4 linked regions of the Arabidopsis thaliana genome follow. The gene in region 2 interacts genetically with the main gene of each other region. Each region holds a gene or a part of one and is shown on either strand. Other genes may lie near its edges.

Region 1 (4,790 bases), on a different chromosome or scaffold from region 2:
TTGGCAGGTACGGCAGGGTTGAACAGAGTCGTAATAACAGGAAAAGCACAGAATAACAGTTACATCTTGTAAATATCCGACTCATACCTTTGTAAAGATCCACGTTTCTTGTTTTCTTTTTTTTTTCTTTCTTTCTTTCTATTCTTAGCAAAATAGATTTCATTCTTGTTTTTTCACCACCACCCACAAAGTTTGATTCTGTTTTTCTGTTTTTGGTATATATAGAGGGTTTGGTTTGTTTGTTTTTCCATTTTTTTCGTAATTTATTAACCGCCAATTCATGCGCGGCAATAAATTGTGTTATTAGACCTTTGAATCCATTGTGTTGAAAAGTTACCAACAAACTAAAACATAGCATCCTGATAGAATTATTGCCAAAAGGTTTCTTTAAAGGTTAGAGAGGCCTGCGTTTCGAGACCGGCTAATTTCTAAGAAATCTGGCCCCAAAAATATTTATCTTTTTGCACCCGAAAACACTTTATGTTAGACGACAGGAGCCTCTGTAGTATACCACCTAAGGCTTTCTTGACACGTCGTGTAATGGGCTGACTTCAGCAACACACCTTCCTATATAGAGTACTTAAAAATGTGGACAAAAGAAAAAGTGTAACAAGATTAGGATTTTTTTAGATGCTTCATGTTTCAAACTCTTTTCATTAAACAAAATCTTTTTAATTGGCTGGTTAAACCAAGGAAAAGGTGTAACGCACTCTTGAAGAACAAGAACATCCCAACTGGCTAATTTGCTCTTGCAACTAACTTATTTGTTCAGAATATTTTTATTTAATTCTTCTCATTAAATAATTTGATTTTGTTGGCTGTTGGCTGGCAATTGTTCGCCCACCAAAACCAAAAGCTGTCGGATATTTCTGAGATTAATAAAAAAAAATATACAGCTCTTTTCTTCAATGTTTCAGAATTCAATTCGATGAGGTTAGATTAACAATAAAAGTTCAATCAACTGAGTTAGTATGTTATACACTACATTGTCTACGAGAACCAGGGGTTCTGTCTACAGTTCAGAATATACCAAACGAGTTCTTGATTACAAAATTGTAGCATCACAATGTCAACATTTATATATTAGTATTTTTAAAACGTATTATATTTTCGAAGAAATATTTTAGTGTAGTACATTGAACCGATCACAGAGTCAAATGCACATAAGCAGGGTATTGTTTACGTGCGATAAACAGGTTTATATCTGGATTCTTTTTATACATATATATATATAAATCATCACACAGATTACTACTACTAATTAATCAACATTAATCACTATCACTAAGGTATTTAACTAATGATGATCGACGACTATTTTGTTGTTTGATTTCTCTTAGGCTAAACTATTGATAAAAACAAGTTTGGATCACTTTATAAAGGTTTTCTATACTTCTTTTACCAATTAGCTTATCTCCCACAATGTGCAGTTCGATCAAAGACAGATGCTTTTGTTTTATGACTTCAATTGTCGAATTAGTTTTTATTCAAGAAAGTATAAATTTAAATACGTACATATTAAAATATATGGACCGCTTGTGTTCAAAAAAACATATATATAATAACTAAACTACAAGATTTTGTGTGTAATAATTAAAAAGCTAAATTACTATACACCCTATTCTTTCGGCCAAAACCGTAACTTTAAGCGCGACACTAAATATAATTATCATGGAGATCTTATCTCAATCATGATGTAATCTTTATCTAAAAATCATCGATCACCCTTGCTTGGTCCGATTCATTGCACAACAAGACACAAGAGTAGATTGTCCAGCCCACATACACACGTATGCACATATCAACATGCATCCACACACACTTACACATAATATATAATATAGATTATTAAATAAAATTTAGAGCAAGGGGACACCAGTTTTACAGATTTTGTAGCCTCCTTTATCTTTCTTAGCTGTTCTCTTTCTCTCCCTGTCCCTCAATATAAATACAAAGAACCCAATACTTCCTTCTTACGTACCAAGAAAGTTAGTTTCTCAATTCCTGATAAAACATACACAAAACAATAATCTTAATTTCAAGAAACTACTACTATTGCTAAAAATCAGAGACTTTCGCTAATGGCTATATTCGGTAAACTGACAAAGCTCAAGTCTGCCATAAAGAAATGGCCTTCCTTGACCAAGAACCACCATTCAACCATGTGTACCGCCTCTACCGCCGTATCTGAGGTCTCAAAGTGCGAGGATCTCCATGTGGTTTACGTCGGAAAGTCACGAAGACCTTACATGCTTAGTTCCCACGTCATCGCTCATCCGCTTTTCCAAGAACTACTTGACCGGTCGTCTAGATTTATCGAAGAACGTCACGACCAAGAGACCGTCTTAGTAGCTTGCGAAGTCGTATTGTTCGAGCACTTGTTATGGATGCTCAAAAACAGTTCCTCTGATCACGGCGATGAGGATGATCGCGAAAGAGGATCCGTCGAGGAGTTGGCTGAGTTCTATACTTATTGACGGCGCGATACATATCCATATATACTTTTATTTCGTTAATTTTGGAATTTGATTCGACATGATCCAATAATGCGGTCATGCACAGACCATTTTCTTTGCTTTTGTTTTTCTCCCGAGCAAATTTTTAGAGTTAACTAGTAATCTTTAACTAATATTATAATTATGTCGGTCGAAAGAGGGTAGTAGTATCTTGCCCCAAATGATGATAAATTGTAACATATGCTAAAATTGTTTTTTATGATTAGCTCCATTTGATATACATGTACTCTACAGTAGTACGTAGTTATGAGATTTTCGAAAGAATAAAAGTGGCCGCCACATGATGATGCGCAGGGCTACCCAATTGCACGGACGGTTGTCCTACTTGCCTTTCTAGTGGCATCAAGCTGTCACGGAAACAAATATTTAAGTATAAATTACTAACTACGTCTATAAGTGTATCCAAGTTGTAATGTGAAGTGAAATTAGGTATAAACTTCTTGGAGTAATTAATTAAACATGACTACGATGTGAGTATGTATGGCTCGTAATCATAATGGTGGTTTTTAATAAAATAATAAAATATAGGATGCTCATTAACTCGACCAGCATAATTATTTATGTAGTTCTTAATATCTCATGTCAAGCTATAGCCTATATGTAGATAATGGGATATCTTTGCCTGAATATAAACAAAGAATTATGTATTTCAACGTTGAAAAAAAATTCGTATTAATTGAATCTGTATAAAAAAATGGACACTTTGTGGATTTACTATTGGGGAATATATTGGAGAACTTGGGCCAAATAGGCCCATTTAATAAGATTGGTCTCGCAAAACGGCATCGTGGCGTAGAAACAGTGACGTGCAGCTTGGTGGTCTTCAAGTTTGACTGTTAATCGGTAAACAGAGGCTGATTGTGCGACGGTGACGGCAAATCCAGTGAGTGAGTTCCTATCATCTTTGCTTCGTTTAGTGGAAACTCTAAAACTTTAGAATAGTTTTAGTTAGTCTTTAGCATTTGGCTTGTTCTAATTATCAGATCTTCTTGTTCTGAGATTTTTCTTTCCTGTGCATTTCGGAGCAGAATATGAATTCATATGGCAACCTTTTTATTAGCGTCTGTGATATATGTCGGGTTTTTCTGAAGGATTTGGGGACAATTTGTTTTTTCACCAGCTGCATTTGTGATTACCTTGATCGATTTTTGGCTGACAAGGTGTTTGTTGAAAAGCTTCAAAGGGTAATAATAGTCTTTAGTCACTAGCGTATGGTTTCTGTTTAGGATGCGTCAACTTCTGATATAGCTAACCTTGCAAAGACATTACTTTTTATACGTTTTCTGGAGTCTGGTTCTGATCATTGAGGTTTTGTGTGTGTGTCATTTAGTGTTTACCATTGAAAAATTGGAGCTTTAATTCCTAACAGTCATTTTTATATATCTTAGACAAGCTTTCTTTGTTTTCATCTGGGAAAGCAGCTACAGAGACATGTCAAGGTTTCGATCGTTGTTGCAAGCCTCAGTAAATGCGACAAAGAAGGGTATTCGCCTGCCACTTTTCCGTCAATTATCATGTGTCGTACTTGATTCTTTGATCTTTTGATTTTTTTTTTGGTTTGTGTGTTGATGTTTCGTTTTATTTTGTGCTTGTGCTTATACTTATTAGACAGTGACTGATTGCAAGTGATGTTTGAGGAAACAATAACGTTGCTTCTATGTTCCAATGCTTACAAACTTTTGGGATCACATATATATTTCTATACTAGCCTTTATGCTTTTGAATGCAGCAAAGATTTGCTAGTTTCTGACTTATCTTCACCCTGTAAACTGTTAGCTCTTACATGGAACGTTGAAGAATGGGTGCCACCTGCAGAGAAGCATATATTTAAGTTCCACTCTAAAGAAGACTTAAAGAAATGGCATCTCTATTCCGACTCTGAATATGGAGGTACTTATGCTGACAGGTTTAAGCATCTGCTCCGTAAAGAGTATCTGATATTGTTTCTGTTGTCATTATCCCTTTCATTTCCATGCCTCGGTGATCCATATGAACAACTATAGACAAAATAAGATTTCTGAAGATCGGCATTGCACAGATTTACATTGATATGTAAACAATATGCTATGCATTTTAATATTTATCTTGTGGCAACCTGTTTGAAGTTTGATACTTATTTGACAGGATTATCTTCGGCTTCCTTGGAGATCCCAGATAAAGGAGATGGATCAGATTGCACTGGTTAGCAACTTTGTAATTTCTTCTGTGATCTATCATCGGCCCTCCAGCATGTCTTGTTGTCATGAAGTTCATCAATAAAACAATATGAGATTT
Region 2 (7,164 bases):
CAGCAGCAGCAACGACTCACTTCTCCTTACTTCCACCACCAACTACAGCACCATCACCACCTTCCAACCACCGTAGCAACCACCGCTTCTACCGGAAACGCCGTTCCATCTTCCAACAATGGGCTTTTCCCTCCGCAGCCTCAGCCACAGCACCAGCCTAATGATGGGTCATCTTCTCTCGCGGTGTACCCTCATTCAGTTCCGTCCTCGGCTGTGACGGCGCCGATGGAGCCGGTAAAGAGGAAGAGGGGTCGACCAAGAAAGTATGTGACGCCGGAACAAGCCCTAGCGGCTAAGAAATTGGCGTCTTCTGCGAGTAGTTCGTCTGCTAAACAGAGGCGAGAGCTTGCTGCTGTTACCGGTGGTACGGTATCGACTAATTCCGGGTCATCCAAGAAATCTCAGCTTGGTTCTGTCGGTGGGTTTAATCTTTTCTTCTTTTGAATCTTATCGTTGGTCAATTTGATATCTAAAGTTTCCAACTTTAAGGTCAATGATTAATCTCCCAATTCTTAAATTTTGATTCTTTAGCTGTTAATTCGTTGGTGTGATTTGAGACGTAAGTGCCTTGAATTAGCATTATGTATAATTTACAGCAGTAGATTTACATCTTGAGTTTCTTAATTACACTGAAGATTGTGTAGTTAGATTCTTGTTTGTATAGTTTATCAATTTGTTTCTTTTTTAGATCCCATTGAGTATCTTTCAAGTGATCCTTTAGTTATATTCTGGAATTTGTGTTATACTCTGAGCTTTACTACAAGTTTTTTGTTGGTGCAGGGAAAACTGGACAATGTTTTACTCCGCATATTGTTAATATAGCTCCTGGCGAGGTATGTCATGTTCTTGTACACTCAAGATCCTTACTTGTAATAGAGATTTGTTGGTGTAGGCACAATATCTATCATTCTTTCAATTCTAAGTCATTCTATTTCTCTTTTTGTTTCATTGATACTAATGCAAATCGAGGAGGATCCTTAATGATTCTAAGTGTTCTCTTTGTGATACTGTCAGGATGTGGTCCAGAAAATTATGATGTTCGCAAACCAAAGCAAGCATGAACTATGCGTTCTTTCTGCATCAGGCACTATCTCTAATGCATCCTTGCGCCAACCGGCTCCATCAGGAGGCAACTTACCATATGAGGTGATTTTCTCTTGCAGTAAAATAGTACTCAGCTTGCTTCTTTGTTGTTTCTTTCCAAAGGGGAGAGGAGGGTTTTTTCTTTCTGATCCTTTCTCTCTATTCTGTGTGATAGAGGAAAATTGATACACAATACAGTTAGCATGTTGATAAAGCAAAGAGATTCTTAATTCAGATACTTTCTTTGAAGTTTGCATATCATTGTTAAACTTGCCTCAAATTTCAAAAAATTTATTCAGGGTCAATACGAGATTCTCTCACTATCTGGATCCTATATCCGAACTGAACAAGGTGGTAAATCCGGCGGCCTTAGCGTTTCTTTATCTGCTTCAGATGGTCAGATCATCGGTGGAGCGATTGGTAGCCATCTCACAGCTGCTGGCCCGGTTCAGGTACAATTCTGTTGTATCATAGTTTCAACTTGCATATATTGAAACATTGTTATTGTTTCCAACCATCTTACACAAAACTGATCATTTCCTAAGATAGGAGGTCTGGCTTTGATTGATCGCCTTAGATTTGTGCAAATGCAGGTGATTCTTGGTACGTTTCAGCTTGATAGAAAGAAGGATGCCGCCGGGAGTGGTGGGAAAGGGGATGCTTCAAACAGTGGAAGTCGGTTAACTTCTCCTGTAAGCTCTGGACAGTTGCTTGGCATGGGTTTCCCTCCTGGTATGGAATCTACGGGAAGAAATCCAATGAGGGGAAACGACGAGCAACATGATCATCATCATCATCAAGCCGGTTTGGGTGGACCTCATCATTTCATGATGCAAGCGCCGCAGGGGATACACATGACACATTCCAGGCCATCTGAATGGCGCGGAGGAGGCAACAGCGGTCATGATGGCAGAGGCGGTGGCGGGTATGATTTGTCAGGTAACAAAAAAGCTCAAAACTTCTCGAAAGATGTCATCTTTCTTCATCAAAGTTCAAACCCTTAAATCCAAACAAGGACAGATTAGAATTGCTATGGAGATTGGTGGAAATTAGTATTTTGTAGAGTTCTAGAAGATTACAGGCTAAAGCTCTTCTCCGTTGTGGCAATGGCTTGAAACGCTGATGGATGTAATCTTGTGCAGGAAGGATAGGACATGAGTCGTCGGAGAATGGAGATTACGAGCAGCAAATACCGGATTAGCAGAGCTTCCAGGAGAAGTGTGTAGAGTTTAGATCCCAAGTAGAGAAACAGAAGGCGAGCAAAGAATCTGAACTGAGAGAGGACTTATTAGACAGAGACTCGTCTGAAGGGTCTTTAATCATAGAAAGAAGTTGCTGAGTGATTGCTTTTGTTCTTCTTCTTGGTACGGTGTATTATATTAACTCCACAACCTTTTTTTTATACTTTCAGTAACGATTCTCCTTCACTTTCAATTTCATTCCTTTTTTTTATACTCTTTTTCTTTTCTTATAATATTTTTTTTGGTTTTTCTTTCGTTTGTTACTAAAAAAGGAAATGCTCTTTTTGTGAAATATATACACTTCGTTTGTTCGGTTTCTACTTATGTTAATTATTCATAACCTATCTTAATTTAGTAAACGGTTCCTATGAGCCGTTACTTGGACCAAAACATTAACTCATTTGACGAAGAACAAAAAAACTCATTTGAGAATTCTGTTTATTTATTCATATTAATATTGATTTAGTTTAAAATTCTTGGTAACTTTATGTCAAGTTGTCAACTTGTAAATTTCTTGATTGATAATGTTGGAATGCTATAACTTATGTGAAGCCAAAAATTACTGTTAAAAATTCTTATCTTTAATGGGAATTTTTTGTTGACATCTAAGCTTAAAGTGAAACACCACCATTTTTATGGACTTGAGCAACTCTCCGGAAATTGCTTAAGCGAAAAGTCTGCTGCTTTTGTCTTAAAAAAACTTTGAATATTGTTGACTCAAGTCTGAAAATCCGCAACTGAAACTCCCGGAAAAGATCTGCCACCACCGGACCAACTCGGTTTCTTCTCTTTTCTAATCACTTCTTCTGTTTCTCCAACTTCTGTGAAAAAGATGTCAGATTGACTCGATTTCGTTGCTACAAATGGAGATGGGTCTTTCTTATTTATCTTACTAGATTCGAGAGGTGTGTTCTTTCTCTATTCTATTGGCTTGAATCTTAGCTTTCGTTTTTCTCTGATTACCTTCCCCTGGAATTTAAAAAAAAAAAACTCAAAGGCGGTTTCTTTTCTCAGTACTACGAATATCGAGGAACATAGATCTTGATTCCTTTGCCTTCTTCTGGGTATGCGTGTTTGGAGTTGTTTAATCTCATTGGTCTCTACGCGTTGTGGAAATCTATGAATACCAAGTCAGTTATGTTTAATTGGTTCATTGGATCTCAACTTGTAGAGAGCCTCAAGATTGTGGCTGGATTTGATTAGGGTTTTAGATAGAGAGATTAAAGATTGGATCAGAAGATGTTAAGATCTTTAGGTCTTGGATTGCTTCTGTTTGCTCTTCTTGCTCTGGTTTCTGGTGATAACGATTACGTGAGCTGTAATTGTGACGACGAAGGTTTCTTAAGTGTCCACACCATCTTAGAATGTCAAAGAGTGAGTGATCTCTTAATAGCCATTGCCTATTTCTCAATACCTCTCGAGCTTCTCTACTTCATTAGCTTCTCCAATGTTCCTTTCAAATGGGTTCTTGTTCAATTCATTGCCTTTATTGTCCTATGTGGAATGACTCATTTGCTTAACGCTTGGACGTATTACGGACCACACTCTTTCCAGCTTATGCTTTGGCTTACCATCTTTAAATTCCTCACGGCGCTTGTCTCGTGTGCCACGGCTATCACGCTCTTGACTTTGATTCCGTTGCTGTTGAAATGGAAAGTTAGAGAGCTTTACTTGAAGCAGAATGTGTTGGAGCTTAATGAAGAGGTTGGATTGATGAAGAGGCAGAAGGAAATGAGTGTGCAGGTGAGAATGCTTACTCGGGAGATCAGGAAATCGCTCGATAAGCATATGATTCTGCGGACTACTCTCGTTGAGCTATCCAAGATTCTTGATTTACAGAACTCTGCTGTTTGGATGCCTAACGAGAACAGAACCGAGATGCATTTGACTCATGAGCTTAGAGCGAATCCGATGAGGAGTTTCAGGGTAATCCCGATTAATGATCCCGATGTTGTTCAGGTTAGGGAGACCAAAGTAGTGACAATTTTGAGGAAAAACTCTGTTCTTGCGGTTGAGAGCAGTGGTTGTGGCGGTTCGGAAGAGTTTGGACCGGTTGCTGCAATTCGGATGCCGATGCTTCACGGATTGAATTTCAAAGGAGGCACTCCCGAGTTTGTGGATACTCCTTATGCTATAATGGTTTTGGTACTTCCGAGTGCGAATTCACGGGTTTGGACCGATAAAGAGATCGAGATAGCGGAAGTTGTTGCTGATCAAGTAGCGGTTGCTATCTCTCATGCCTCAGTTCTTGAAGAATCACAGTTAATGAGAGAAAAACTCGGTATTCAAAACCGAGCTTTACTTCGAGCAAAACAGAACGCGATGATGGCAAGTCAAGCGAGGAACACTTGCCAGAAAGTGATGAGTCATGGAATGAGGAGACCAATGCACACAATTCTTGGTCTACTCTCCATGTTTCAGTCCGAAAGTATGAGTCTTGACCAGAAAATCATCGTTGATGCGCTCATGAAAACAAGCACAGTTCTCTCAGCTTTAATCAACGACGTGATTGACATTTCGCCTAAAGATAACGGGAAATCTGCATTAGAGGTTAAACGGTTCCAGCTACATTCCTTGATAAGAGAAGCCGCTTGTGTTGCTAAATGCTTAAGCGTTTACAAAGGTTACGGTTTTGAGATGGATGTTCAAACGCGGTTGCCTAATTTAGTAGTAGGAGATGAAAAGAGAACGTTTCAGCTTGTGATGTATATGCTTGGGTATATCTTGGATATGACTGATGGAGGCAAAACCGTTACGTTCCGAGTTATCTGTGAAGGTACTGGAACAAGTCAGGACAAGAGCAAAAGAGAAACTGGAATGTGGAAGTCCCATATGTCCGATGATTCCCTCGGTGTGAAATTTGAAGTTGAGATTAATGAGATTCAGAATCCTCCATTGGATGGTTCGGCTATGGCTATGAGACATATTCCGAACAGAAGATATCATAGCAATGGGATTAAGGAAGGCTTGAGCTTAGGCATGTGTAGAAAACTTGCACAGGTTAGTGATCTCATCATGTCTCTGTTTCTGTTTGGTATATAGAGATTCTAATTATAAACAGTGTATTTGATTTGAAATTTGTTTTGCAGATGATGCAAGGAAACATATGGATATCACCTAAATCGCATGGACAAACACAGAGTATGCAATTAGTTCTGAGGTTTCAGACAAGACCATCGATTAGGAGATCAATCTTAGCAGGAAATGCTCCAGAGCTTCAACATCCGAATTCAAATTCCATTCTTCGTGGTCTAAGAATCACTCTAGCAGACGATGATGATGTCAACAGAACCGTGACTAAGAGACTTCTTGAGAAACTCGGCTGCGAAGTAACTGCTGTCTCGTCTGGATTTGAGTGTTTGAATGCGTTGTCAAATGTGGAAATGTCGTATAGAGTTGTGATTTTGGATCTGCAGATGCCGGAGATGGATGGTTTCGAAGTAGCAATGAAGATAAGGAAGTTTTGTGGACATCATTGGCCATTGATTATAGCTTTGACTGCTAGTACTGAAGATCATGTTAGGGAAAGATGTTTGCAAATGGGGATGAATGGTATGATCCAGAAACCGGTTCTTTTGCATGTTATGGCTTCTGAGCTTAGACGGGCTTTGCAGACCGCGAGCGAGTGATTCGAGCTCAGAGAAGGAAGCAGATATCAATGAATCTTGAAAAGCAAAAATCTTGAAACGAAGAAAAGCAGAGTGAGGATTCTTTGAAGATGTGAAGCATAGAGACACCTCTCTGGGGAAATGTTTTTGTTGTTGTTGTTGTCTCGGTTCTACAGTGATGAGAATTGAGTCAGTTTTCTCTATTTAGCCTAGTTTGGAGATTGGTTGGTTCGAAACTATTTATACGTAATGATTTCGCATTTTTAGCGAAAAAATAACATAAGTTTATTAGATTTAATAATAATTAATTTTATAATTTTGTCTTGAGTAAATTCTCTCTGAATATTTATACAATTCTTTTTTTGCATCTCATTATTAAATTCATCATATTTTGTCAAAATTCATCGCTTGTATTCTCTAATCTATTGCTCTAACTTTTTATTCTTTGTTTACTATTTTTTGACATTTTTTATTTAGTTTTACTATTCAGACTGAATGTTTCAAGCATTGTATATTTTGGACATTTCTTTGTCAACCAAAAAGAAATAATATTGTATCAAATCAAATGAAATTTATTAATTATTTATTTTTTGTCAATGTAATTTAGTTAGTATTTTATCAAATGTATTTTTTGTTTGTTTTTTGATATAAACAAAAAGTCTATTTAAAAATACTTTTTTTGACGGCAAAAACTTTATTTGACAGCAAAAACGTTTTTTTCTTAAAGACTAAAGTTTAGACCAGACCACCACACCAAACGTTTGATTGCTAAATGTTAGTATCTATACGAACACCAAAGTTAATGTTATTTAATGCTTTGTGTAGTCTTAAGAACGAACATCACGTAACGCTATAAATTATGTTCGACATATCGATGTTCGAATTTTTTAAAATGTACTTATTTGGATTGGATATTAACAAATACCAAACGACAAAAAATAAATCCCCATTCTAGCTTTAATTCAGTTCTCGTTTCTCTCAAACAATTGACAAAAGAAAATCAGAAGTTTGTAATGGTTATTGGATATCAATTTATTCCTAATTTTCAATCTTTTTTTCTACTATCAATATATTAAGATGTAAAATTAAGAAAAATAAAACTTTTAACAAAAAAATGCATATACGCATTATCAATTTATCATTTGAGTGTTATTTAAAGTGAGGACCATCTACAACGGATATTTATCTTGGGAATTATAAAATTATTCCTTTTTATGTGATAAGCAGTACCT
Region 3 (4,157 bases), on a different chromosome or scaffold from region 2:
TAATGGCTTTGTCTTGTCTTTTGCAGATGGGGAGGCAGTAGCAGCAAAGGAAGAGTAAATACAAGTCAAGTGATAAAAAATCTTAAAACATTTATTTTGTTTTGATTCTCTTGTTATCCTTTAATCATATACTGATGGAAATTGTTAATTAGGGATGATTACTTTGGGGTGTAATTGTAAAATCAGATTATCTTTGTGTTTTCCTGGTTTCTTTATTGATTCTCCATTCTTTTTTCAAGGGGGATTTAAGTTTTAGGACATGTATGTTAGATGTGAAAAAATTTGGTGGTCAAAGTGTGATACGAAACAAAAATATAACTTCTTGTACGAAAACATGTTCACATTTCTTGTCTTCTTCTTCGATGTTGTTATCGAAAATTGTTATGTGTGACAATCAAGTAGACTAATGAATAATATGCAACAATGTGGGGAAGATGGATTGTGGTCGAATTGTCAAGAACTGGTCGGATTTGGTATATAATTCGTATACACTACTTACGATTGTTTGGGCCGGAGCTAACAGTTAAAGAATTCTCCCAAACAGCATGCACTCGAATTCAGGAAAGACACAACTTCACCCTTTGCTATGGGACCAAAGTCACCAAGCACTACTTATTTGGTTTTCCATGTGTTTCCAATCTCCAAAAAGCGGTGTACCCCATTCCAAGTCTTGCATTCGTCTGTTAGCGATCCAGTCAGAAAAAAATTTCGTTTCTAATTTTTCACATAAAGCCTAAATATGTTTAATCGTTTTTTTTTTCATTCTGCATTTTACCAAATAAAATCAGTTTCTTACATGACTTTTGCCAAAACAAAAATTAAAAAACATCACATGTAGATTTAATTTATTATATTTTTTTTTCTCAGTCATCATATTTCTTTTGCGACTTTAAAAGATGCAAATCCGTCTAGACTTTATCAAAATTATTTATCTATATAATACGTTCATTGTTTAATTGTTTAGTTTGTATGTTTATGTGCAATTGTGCATGACATGCGTGTATACGTATGTTTTTATGGAAAAAAAAAGATACACGGATAAATTTTATAAATATATTTAAATACGTAGGGGCCAATCAATCTAAAGTAGATAAGATGAATTGATTAGGGTTTGAAATTTTGTAGCCCGTGATTGATCTAGTTCACGAAGTCAGTCAAATACAACATTGACATTGCAATTAGTTTTAGCTCTTTGTATAACCATTAAAAAATCATCATTTTTAAACTACATTGCAACTTGCAAGACAATATTTACACATTTAAACATTTATTTTATCGTTGTTGTATCATTTAACAGAAAATAGATTATTTCACGAAATACTATGTAAAGTGTAAAGTATACAAAGTGTAGAATATACAAACATGTAACATTTAATCATAAATATATTTTGAACCTAAATTAATCATAAAGAGTTAACAAGCGTAGAACTCGACAAGTTCGTAGACCGACTCGGGGCGTGACTCATCGGCGTCGGCGTTCTCCAACATCCAAAGCAAATGCTCAAACAAGACAACTTCGCACGACACAGAGATGGAACCGTCCTCGCTGCCGCATCCACCATCCACCGCCGCTAGCTGCTGGAAGAGCGGGTGGCTCACGACATCGGAGCTCACGTGGTATGTCCTCCGTGTTCGGCCTACGTAGACAGTTTGAAGGTCTTCAGAGGGGAACGCACTCACGGCGGAGGATCGGCTGTGATTGGTTTGAGCTGGTGGCTGGTTAGGCTTGGTGTTGAATGAATTGAGTTTCTTCAAAACTGATTTCAGCTTCATCAGTTTGTTTCCTCCTTTCGCCATTACCGATTCGGTTTGGAGAAGTTTGACGTCGGAAATGTAAGTCCGAGTGAGTTTTCCGGTGAGAGAGAGAGAGAGAGAGAAGCGAGGAAGAGGAATGTCGATGTCGAAGAGAGAAAGGAGAATGATGTTCTTATATAACTTGCTAAGGGTAGATTCGTAATTATAGTATTATTATTTTCAGTATAATTTCATGGTTTTAATAAGTTTGAGAACGTTTAGGTTATCAACCGATTTTTGAATAGCCATTATCCAATGATCTAAAAGTTTCCAAGAGCCGGAAGCAATTATTCGAAAAGATTATGATTATGAATTGGAAAGATAAAGCTAAAAGTATATATTAAAACATGCAAACCCACATCACTCCAAAAGTTTTTGTTATCCCAGTCAACCATATACATCATCATTTCCCCATAACCATTTTCTTAAAACTAAATTTGGCTAACGTTTTAACTACGTTGTGGTAAGAACCTTCGAGACTTCGAGTGTGTAAAGTGTAAACTTATATTTTGGATGAATTTTTGTTAAGTTTGGATCTTCATCACATTTGTTTTTGTGTCATTTCAATCCAAATGATGAAGTAACGAGTACCACAAACTTACTAGATTATATGTTCTATTCAATATGTACTTTTCTTCAAAGGATTTTCATAGTATTTATTAGAAACTTTAAATATATTCTCTTTTCTTTCAACGAATTTCAGTTAGATATTTAACTACGACAATTTTTCTTCTAAAAATTTATGGAGTTCCCATTTTTCTCGTTTATATAAAATATAAATTTCTTTGAATGAAGATCATAACAATATAAATGAAGCTGTGAACTTTATGTAATCACTTGATTATAATAAACTAATCCAACAACTAAAGGAGGTTCATGAACTTCTAAAGCGGCTTATTAGTTCTAATTAGTTAGGTAAGTAATTGGCTATCTCTGCTTTTGATTAAAAAAATTATCTTCTCTTTTTTTACACATAACATGTTACAATAACAAATACTATAAAATTGCAAAATTTTGTCATTTTGTTGTGGTTAGATTAGACTCCGACATTATTCATTTGTGAAGTTTATTTATTATTTACGTAGTATTGGCTTCTACTGTTACAGCATGTGAGTTCCGGAAGATTTGTCTTCTTCTTTTTTTACGTAAAATTGTTTATATCATAATCAGCCGACACAAGGGCATCAAATGTCTTTCTAATCATGTAACCAAAATATTAATATGAAATTGGACCTCCTCCTAGTTTGTCTACTTATAATTAATTGAAAAGTTTATCAATCTTCGTAATAAACTAGACATCATATTAATTAAAAGTGTGAGATTTATAAAAGATTGGCGGAAGAGTCCAAGTAAAGATAATATAGAAGAAATTAAGATGAGAGCAACGACCAATCACAGATTTATAGTATCAAATAAATTTGTTAGTGAAAATGTCAAGTTCTCTATTTTTGGGCGGACTCGATCACCTGCCAAAGCGTCAAGCTGTACTAGAGGAACCGTTTAGACGACTGAAGTTTCTTTCCCAAAAGGCCAAAAAACGTTGAAAAACTATCTTATAATGCATATGCATTCATAGTTTACGTTCACCATTGCAGACATATAATCTAAACCTTTGAAAAACCTAAAGCTAGCATGGAACTTACTCATAAAGTTGATACAAAGCTTTAGTTCTTAATATCAGAATTGCCTTAAACAAAGGGGAATGCACACACATGTGTGTTCCCCACTATTTAAGTGGTGCATAGCCCGTGGACAATAAAACCAAACATTTGTTTTGAGGAAACATTTATAAACAATACCAAAAGTTTAATAAATACTTAAACCGCTTCTATTCCCTCTTAGTGTATGTTGGTAAGCGAGGACCCATTTGGATCCTTTGATGTCTTTATTCAAAATATTGTATCATTAAAATATATATTGTCGGAAACCCAAAAATTCTCCCTATATTATTATCCCTATTTCTTCCAAATTATTATTACCTAATTAGAATCAATTTTATATCATACTTTCATAAATCCATGTCTTAATCACAAGGTGGAGAATCGGAGATACATGTAAATGATATGGACTAATCATAAGGATTATAACTCTGACACAAGGGTTATAAAAATGAGAAATGCTTCGAATCTATAATCATCAGAAGAAATAATATCATCCAATTTCTACCAACTTAGGTTATTTGATCAAGTTGTTCCACACATATATTATACAACATCGACATGAAAATCCGTCTTGTTACAAAGATTGTTGCACTATACATGTGAGAAAATCGACCATCGTCAAACATACCAAAACAGAAAAGACATGTGCAACAAGTTGGTGTGTATTGACTTATGCGTCCCTCTCCACTTGCATACTATTAA
Region 4 (4,771 bases), on a different chromosome or scaffold from region 2:
TGATGATGATAGTGATGGTGATGATGGTCGTAGTAAGAAGAAAAAGAAAGAGAAAAGAAAACGGAAATCTCCATTTGCGAGTCTTGAAGAGTACAAGCATTTGATAGACCAAGACGAGAAAGAGGATTCGAAGACTAAAAGAAAAGCAACATCAGAGCCCACAAAGAAGAAGAAAAAGAAGAAGTCTAAAGCATCAGAGTAAGAAGCAAGACTTGTTGCTTGCTATGCAAGGCTCCTTATGTTGAGTATTATTATTATACTGTGTAACGCTGGAGATAGTCACTCCAATTTTGTGGCGTTTGTTTTGTATTTCTTTCTTCCTAATGTTTTCATCTTTGAAGAGAATAACTGTACGATTATGTTTTAATTTAATCACTTGAAACTTTGTTCAAATATCACAAAAATTGAGTATTTTTAAAATCAAATATTGAACTTAGTGATGTGAATGTGATGGTATTATGGCAGGCGTGAGAATCCAAGTTGATATAGTGGTAATTGGGTAGTTAGTAAAATCATCTTTGATCTTTACTTGAGTGATATGATTAAGACATGCTTAGTTCTTATGTAACCTTAAATCTTACTTTTTTTTAGGGATAACCGATCCTTTAAAATCGTATTAAAAAAAAAAAACATTTCCAACCTAAACCCATTATGAAAAAAATTTCTGAAATATGTCCAAATCCATAAATGGATCAGGTCAAATAAATAAAAAACACTAGACCATTATTTCTTTTTGGTAGAAACAGTAGACCATTATTTAAACACGAATATAAAATTATGTTTGCTTTGAATTTTAAAATCAATAAAAATTCATTAACCAATAAATCCTTCTAATATATCGATAATATACATTAGGCAACAATTTTCAACTACTACGCTAACAATTTATAGACAGAGATACTTTAAGAAAACAGTGACTGTTTAGTGTTTACCTTTATGCTAATTTCTTTTACAATATGAAGTATATAAATGTATGAAAGACGTATTATATAGAAGTCGAAAAAAATAAAAGTAGATTAGTTGCACAATTGTCGCGCACTTAACATGAACAACACCATCCTAACTGGCTTGTCTCTACTTTAATTTTGGACTCTAGCTTGTTTTTAATACAACTAATCGAAAATTTCTCTTAAATTAAGTTTCTAACCTTTTTAGTAATATTTAATCTAATCCAAAAAAATGAATTTCTAAAAGTATCACACCTTAGAATATTAAGTAATACATGTTGCTACCTTTATATAATTAAGTTATAGCATAACTCGATTTATGCTAATCATTGCAATGATTACGAATCGGAAGTAATTAGTATTCCTAAATTCAGATTGCTTGTTTGTTTCGTGTGATGCCAGTATGTATATGCTGCATATATGCGCGTATCATTTTCCTTTCTTCAAATCTTCAAAAATTCTCTAAGATCTTCACTATTCAAAAATAAAATATTTCACTCTTGATCAAATTGTAGGTCTGGTTTGATGTTTTACTAGCTACATAAGTACATTAAGATAAAGATAGTTATCTAATGTTTAATGATGAGAGAGTACTATATTACTATTTTATTTCTTTTGCTATAAACAAGTACTATATGTTCGACCATTTATAAAAAAGAAGTATCTAAAAATTCCTTAAATGATTAGCTTACCATCCACAACTTTTTTTGTTCGATAAAAGACAGACGGTAAGGTAAGGTCTTCTCCACCTAATTTCTCGGAAATGCCAAACTAACTTTATGAAAAGAATGAGCAATATTTATGATTATGCATTTGCACTAGATAAAAGGACTGTGTCTTGTCGAAAAGAGCATAATATGCTTGTGGTTAGTTTTTGCATCCGTCAATAAAACCTAATTACCGTGTAAATTATATGAGTTTACGAGTTTAATTTTATAGTATGCTTTTTGAATGTTCATATCTAATTTATGTTCTTAATATGAAATGAAGAAAATCGAAGGTAAATCGACAGATGAAGACCATACTTGTTTTCTATAGTACATGATAATATGAACGACAAAAAATTAGCATTATCGGGTAATATTGAACAAAATTGTGGACAAGATGTAATCGTTATCTAAAAAACATCGCTCTTTGTCCGATCATTAGACAACAACACGCAATAAGAGGTTGCCTACACATCTCTACTCACCGCACGTATATGTATATATCTACAAATTATTATATACTATAAGACATCATAATATACAAAATACAATTTAAAAAAAAATTATACAACAAACATGAATGTTTATCAAGCAAGCATTTCCAAAACTGGATTTGTGGTGTCTGACATTTATGTAGGCAAAACAAAATGTCACAGGTAAGAGAAATAGTGTGTATATATAGTATCAAATATATATAAAAAGGAAAAAAAATTGTATCAAATAATTTAATAGTTTTGTTATGTTAAATTAGATAAAATGTTATTTATTATGTATTTTTTATTGATATATATATATATATATATTTAGCCAAATAAATTAATGGTGTAATGATCACTTGTTATATCTGTTTTTTTTAATAGAACGTATTTATCAGTTTTTTCGTAGACCGTATCATTCCCTCATCCATCTATCATAATTTTACAATATTTTTCTTATCAGCAAGTGTAATTTGTAACATGAAAATAAATGAATGAATATGGCAAAATTTATTACAAAATTAAAATTATTACGAATCTCAATATATAATTACAAGATACAACAAAAAAGAAAGAAAAAACAATGGGCAAAAAACGATACTAGTTTTGCCATTTATGTCCTCATCTCTCTTAGCTGTTATGCATCAATCGGTGGGTCATGCACCTATACGTTCTCTCTCTATCTCACTCAATATATATACACGAACCTTCCTCGTTATTTCCTCCCAAGAACATCTCTCAAACATTCCTCTCTTCTTCTTCCAATATTTTGATCCCCACACACACTCACATCAACACATATAAATCTCCTCGTAAACCCTAAACCCTAGCTAGTTTCAACAACTCTCTTGTTCCAACCCCAAGAAAAAAGTTCAATTTCGTTAGCAATGGCCAAAGTTGGGAAGCTGACAAAGCTTAAGTCGGCTATGAAGAAATGGCCTTCTTTCGCCAAGAACCACCACCACTCAACCTCCTCAGCCGCTGTTTCCGACGAACTCTCAGAAGACAACAATCTCCATGTGGTTTACGTTGGTCAAACTCGAAGACCTTACATGCTTAGACCAGACATCATCTCTCACCCACTCTTTCAAGAACTCGTGGATCGGTCTTCTTCTAGATCCATCGAACAAGATCGTGAGATTGTTGTAGCTTGTGAAGTCGTTTTGTTCGAGCACTTGCTGTGGATGCTCAAGTCTGGTCAAGAAGGAGGATCCGTTGAAGAATTGGCTGAGTTCTATACTTATTGACATCGACCGATTGATTTTATACATTTATTTCGTATAATATATACCTTTTTTGTTGTTGTTTGTTGTTGCTGATTTGTATTTTCATTCGATGCGGTGTGTGATCAAAACGTGATCTCGTAAACCATGTCATTTGCTTCCGTTTTTCTGAGCAATTTTATGATGATGATGAGCATATGTAGTTTTCTTACTTTGTTAAGACCAACCAAGAATAAATTTCTACTAACAACAATCTTTATATATATTTTCCTTCAAAATGTATTTCAGTACCTATATTAATTGTAATATACATAAAAAAAGAATGCAATGATTTCAAGAAAACAAACTAAGTTTTCTGGTAGGTTTTGTTTCTATATTTATTTTATTATGGCGGTTTTGTAAACTTTTGTTTCTATTTTCGTAACGTATCTTTCTCATATGAGTCATGAGTCTCATGACATAATAAAGAAGGCCTTTGATGATGTTCGATAAACAAAAGTTGGTTGAATATGATGAGTCCAATTCATTTATTTTGCTTTATATAAACAAAATATGACTAGCAATGATTTCTATCATCGATATTCATTTTTTTTTTTTTTTGCGTATCATTTGTATGGTGTCAGTTTCAAATCTATTTTTGTGTGTGTATAAAATAGAAAATACGTATGCAATTTCTTTTAAGGAAATAATAATGGTCGCTCTCATGACGCGTTGGTGACCTGGTCCCAATTTCATGTCCCTACTCTCCTTTCTAGTTGCAGACATTATATATTTATCTTTTAATATTCTTGAACTTTCAGCCATACAAAATAAATTAAAGCTTACAGGTTAATTAGTCGATATACTAATAAATTTGTAGTTTGTTGTACTAATTGGCATTACTTACACCAACATATGTGCATTAATATACGTTTATAGACATAAATTGGTAGATAAAATAACTGACATTAATTTTCCGAGGTGGGTACGAAAAGGACGCGCAGAATAATTATTGAAGATAAGTATAATTAGTAAGACCAAAATAAATTAATTTCCTACGTAGGACGAAGTTCTAATCATTATAATCAAAGAAAAGAAGTTTCTTTGCTAAGTTTAATTAAGCTTGTTAATTGATTCCGACACGCTAATGATTGACAAGTCACTCGGTGTGTCTTTTCAGCAAACTTCATGGGACTTCTTCTTCTACTTCTGTCTTGTTCCTTACATTACATCAATCCTATGATATTATAGTGTTTATATAAACTCGGTTGGTAGCTAAATTGTTATGGGTTGCTGCTTGTTTTAACGTTGATTATAGAAGAAATTAATAATTACATTTGATTCGAACTCAGGTTAGTTACTAGAAGAAATTGTAACGACCAAAAGACAGTGTTGGGCCTTAGTGGGCCGTGCAAAGAGATGGGAGTTATGAAACGACA

What was found.
Region 1: of EIN4 (region 2) and AT1G17345, extra expression of one rescues a mutant of the other (dosage rescue), as found in Arabidopsis thaliana (one study listed by BioGRID).
Region 3: of EIN4 (region 2) and AT5G20820, extra expression of one rescues a mutant of the other (dosage rescue), as found in Arabidopsis thaliana (one study listed by BioGRID).
Region 4: of EIN4 (region 2) and AT1G72430, extra expression of one rescues a mutant of the other (dosage rescue), as found in Arabidopsis thaliana (one study listed by BioGRID).

What each region holds. Positions count from the first base shown.
Region 1 is NC_003070.9:5,938,444-5,943,233, forward strand, and holds AT1G17345 (SAUR-like auxin-responsive protein family), read left to right. Parts: upstream 1-1,848; 5' UTR 1,849-2,081; coding exon 2,082-2,477; 3' UTR 2,478-3,082; downstream 3,083-4,790. Other genes in the region: AT1G17350 (NADH:ubiquinone oxidoreductase intermediate-associated protein 30), read left to right, coding at 3,948-3,999, 4,293-4,406, 4,641-4,697. UniProt on the Arabidopsis thaliana protein: May be involved in the regulation of ethylene receptor signaling. Promotes cell expansion and plant growth.
Region 2 is NC_003074.8:1,234,365-1,241,528, reverse strand, and holds EIN4 (Signal transduction histidine kinase, hybrid-type, ethylene sensor), read left to right. Parts: upstream 1-2,912; 5' UTR 2,913-3,563; coding exon 3,564-5,324; intron 5,325-5,413; coding exon 5,414-5,953; 3' UTR 5,954-6,320; downstream 6,321-7,164. Other genes in the region: AT3G04590 (AT hook motif DNA-binding family protein), read left to right, coding at 1-418, 781-833, 1,015-1,146, 1,383-1,535, 1,677-2,022, 2,226-2,284.
Region 3 is NC_003076.8:7,045,498-7,049,654, forward strand, and holds AT5G20820 (SAUR-like auxin-responsive protein family), read right to left. Parts: upstream 1,950-4,157; 5' UTR 1,798-1,949; coding exon 1,414-1,797; 3' UTR 1,250-1,413; downstream 1-1,249. UniProt on the Arabidopsis thaliana protein: May be involved in the regulation of ethylene receptor signaling. Promotes cell expansion and plant growth. Involved in the regulation of cell elongation.
Region 4 is NC_003070.9:27,263,756-27,268,526, reverse strand, and holds AT1G72430 (SAUR-like auxin-responsive protein family), read left to right. Parts: upstream 1-2,720; 5' UTR 2,721-3,017; coding exon 3,018-3,377; 3' UTR 3,378-3,925; downstream 3,926-4,771. Other genes in the region: EDA25 (CCAAT-binding factor), read left to right, coding at 1-202. UniProt on the Arabidopsis thaliana protein: May be involved in the regulation of ethylene receptor signaling. Promotes cell expansion and plant growth.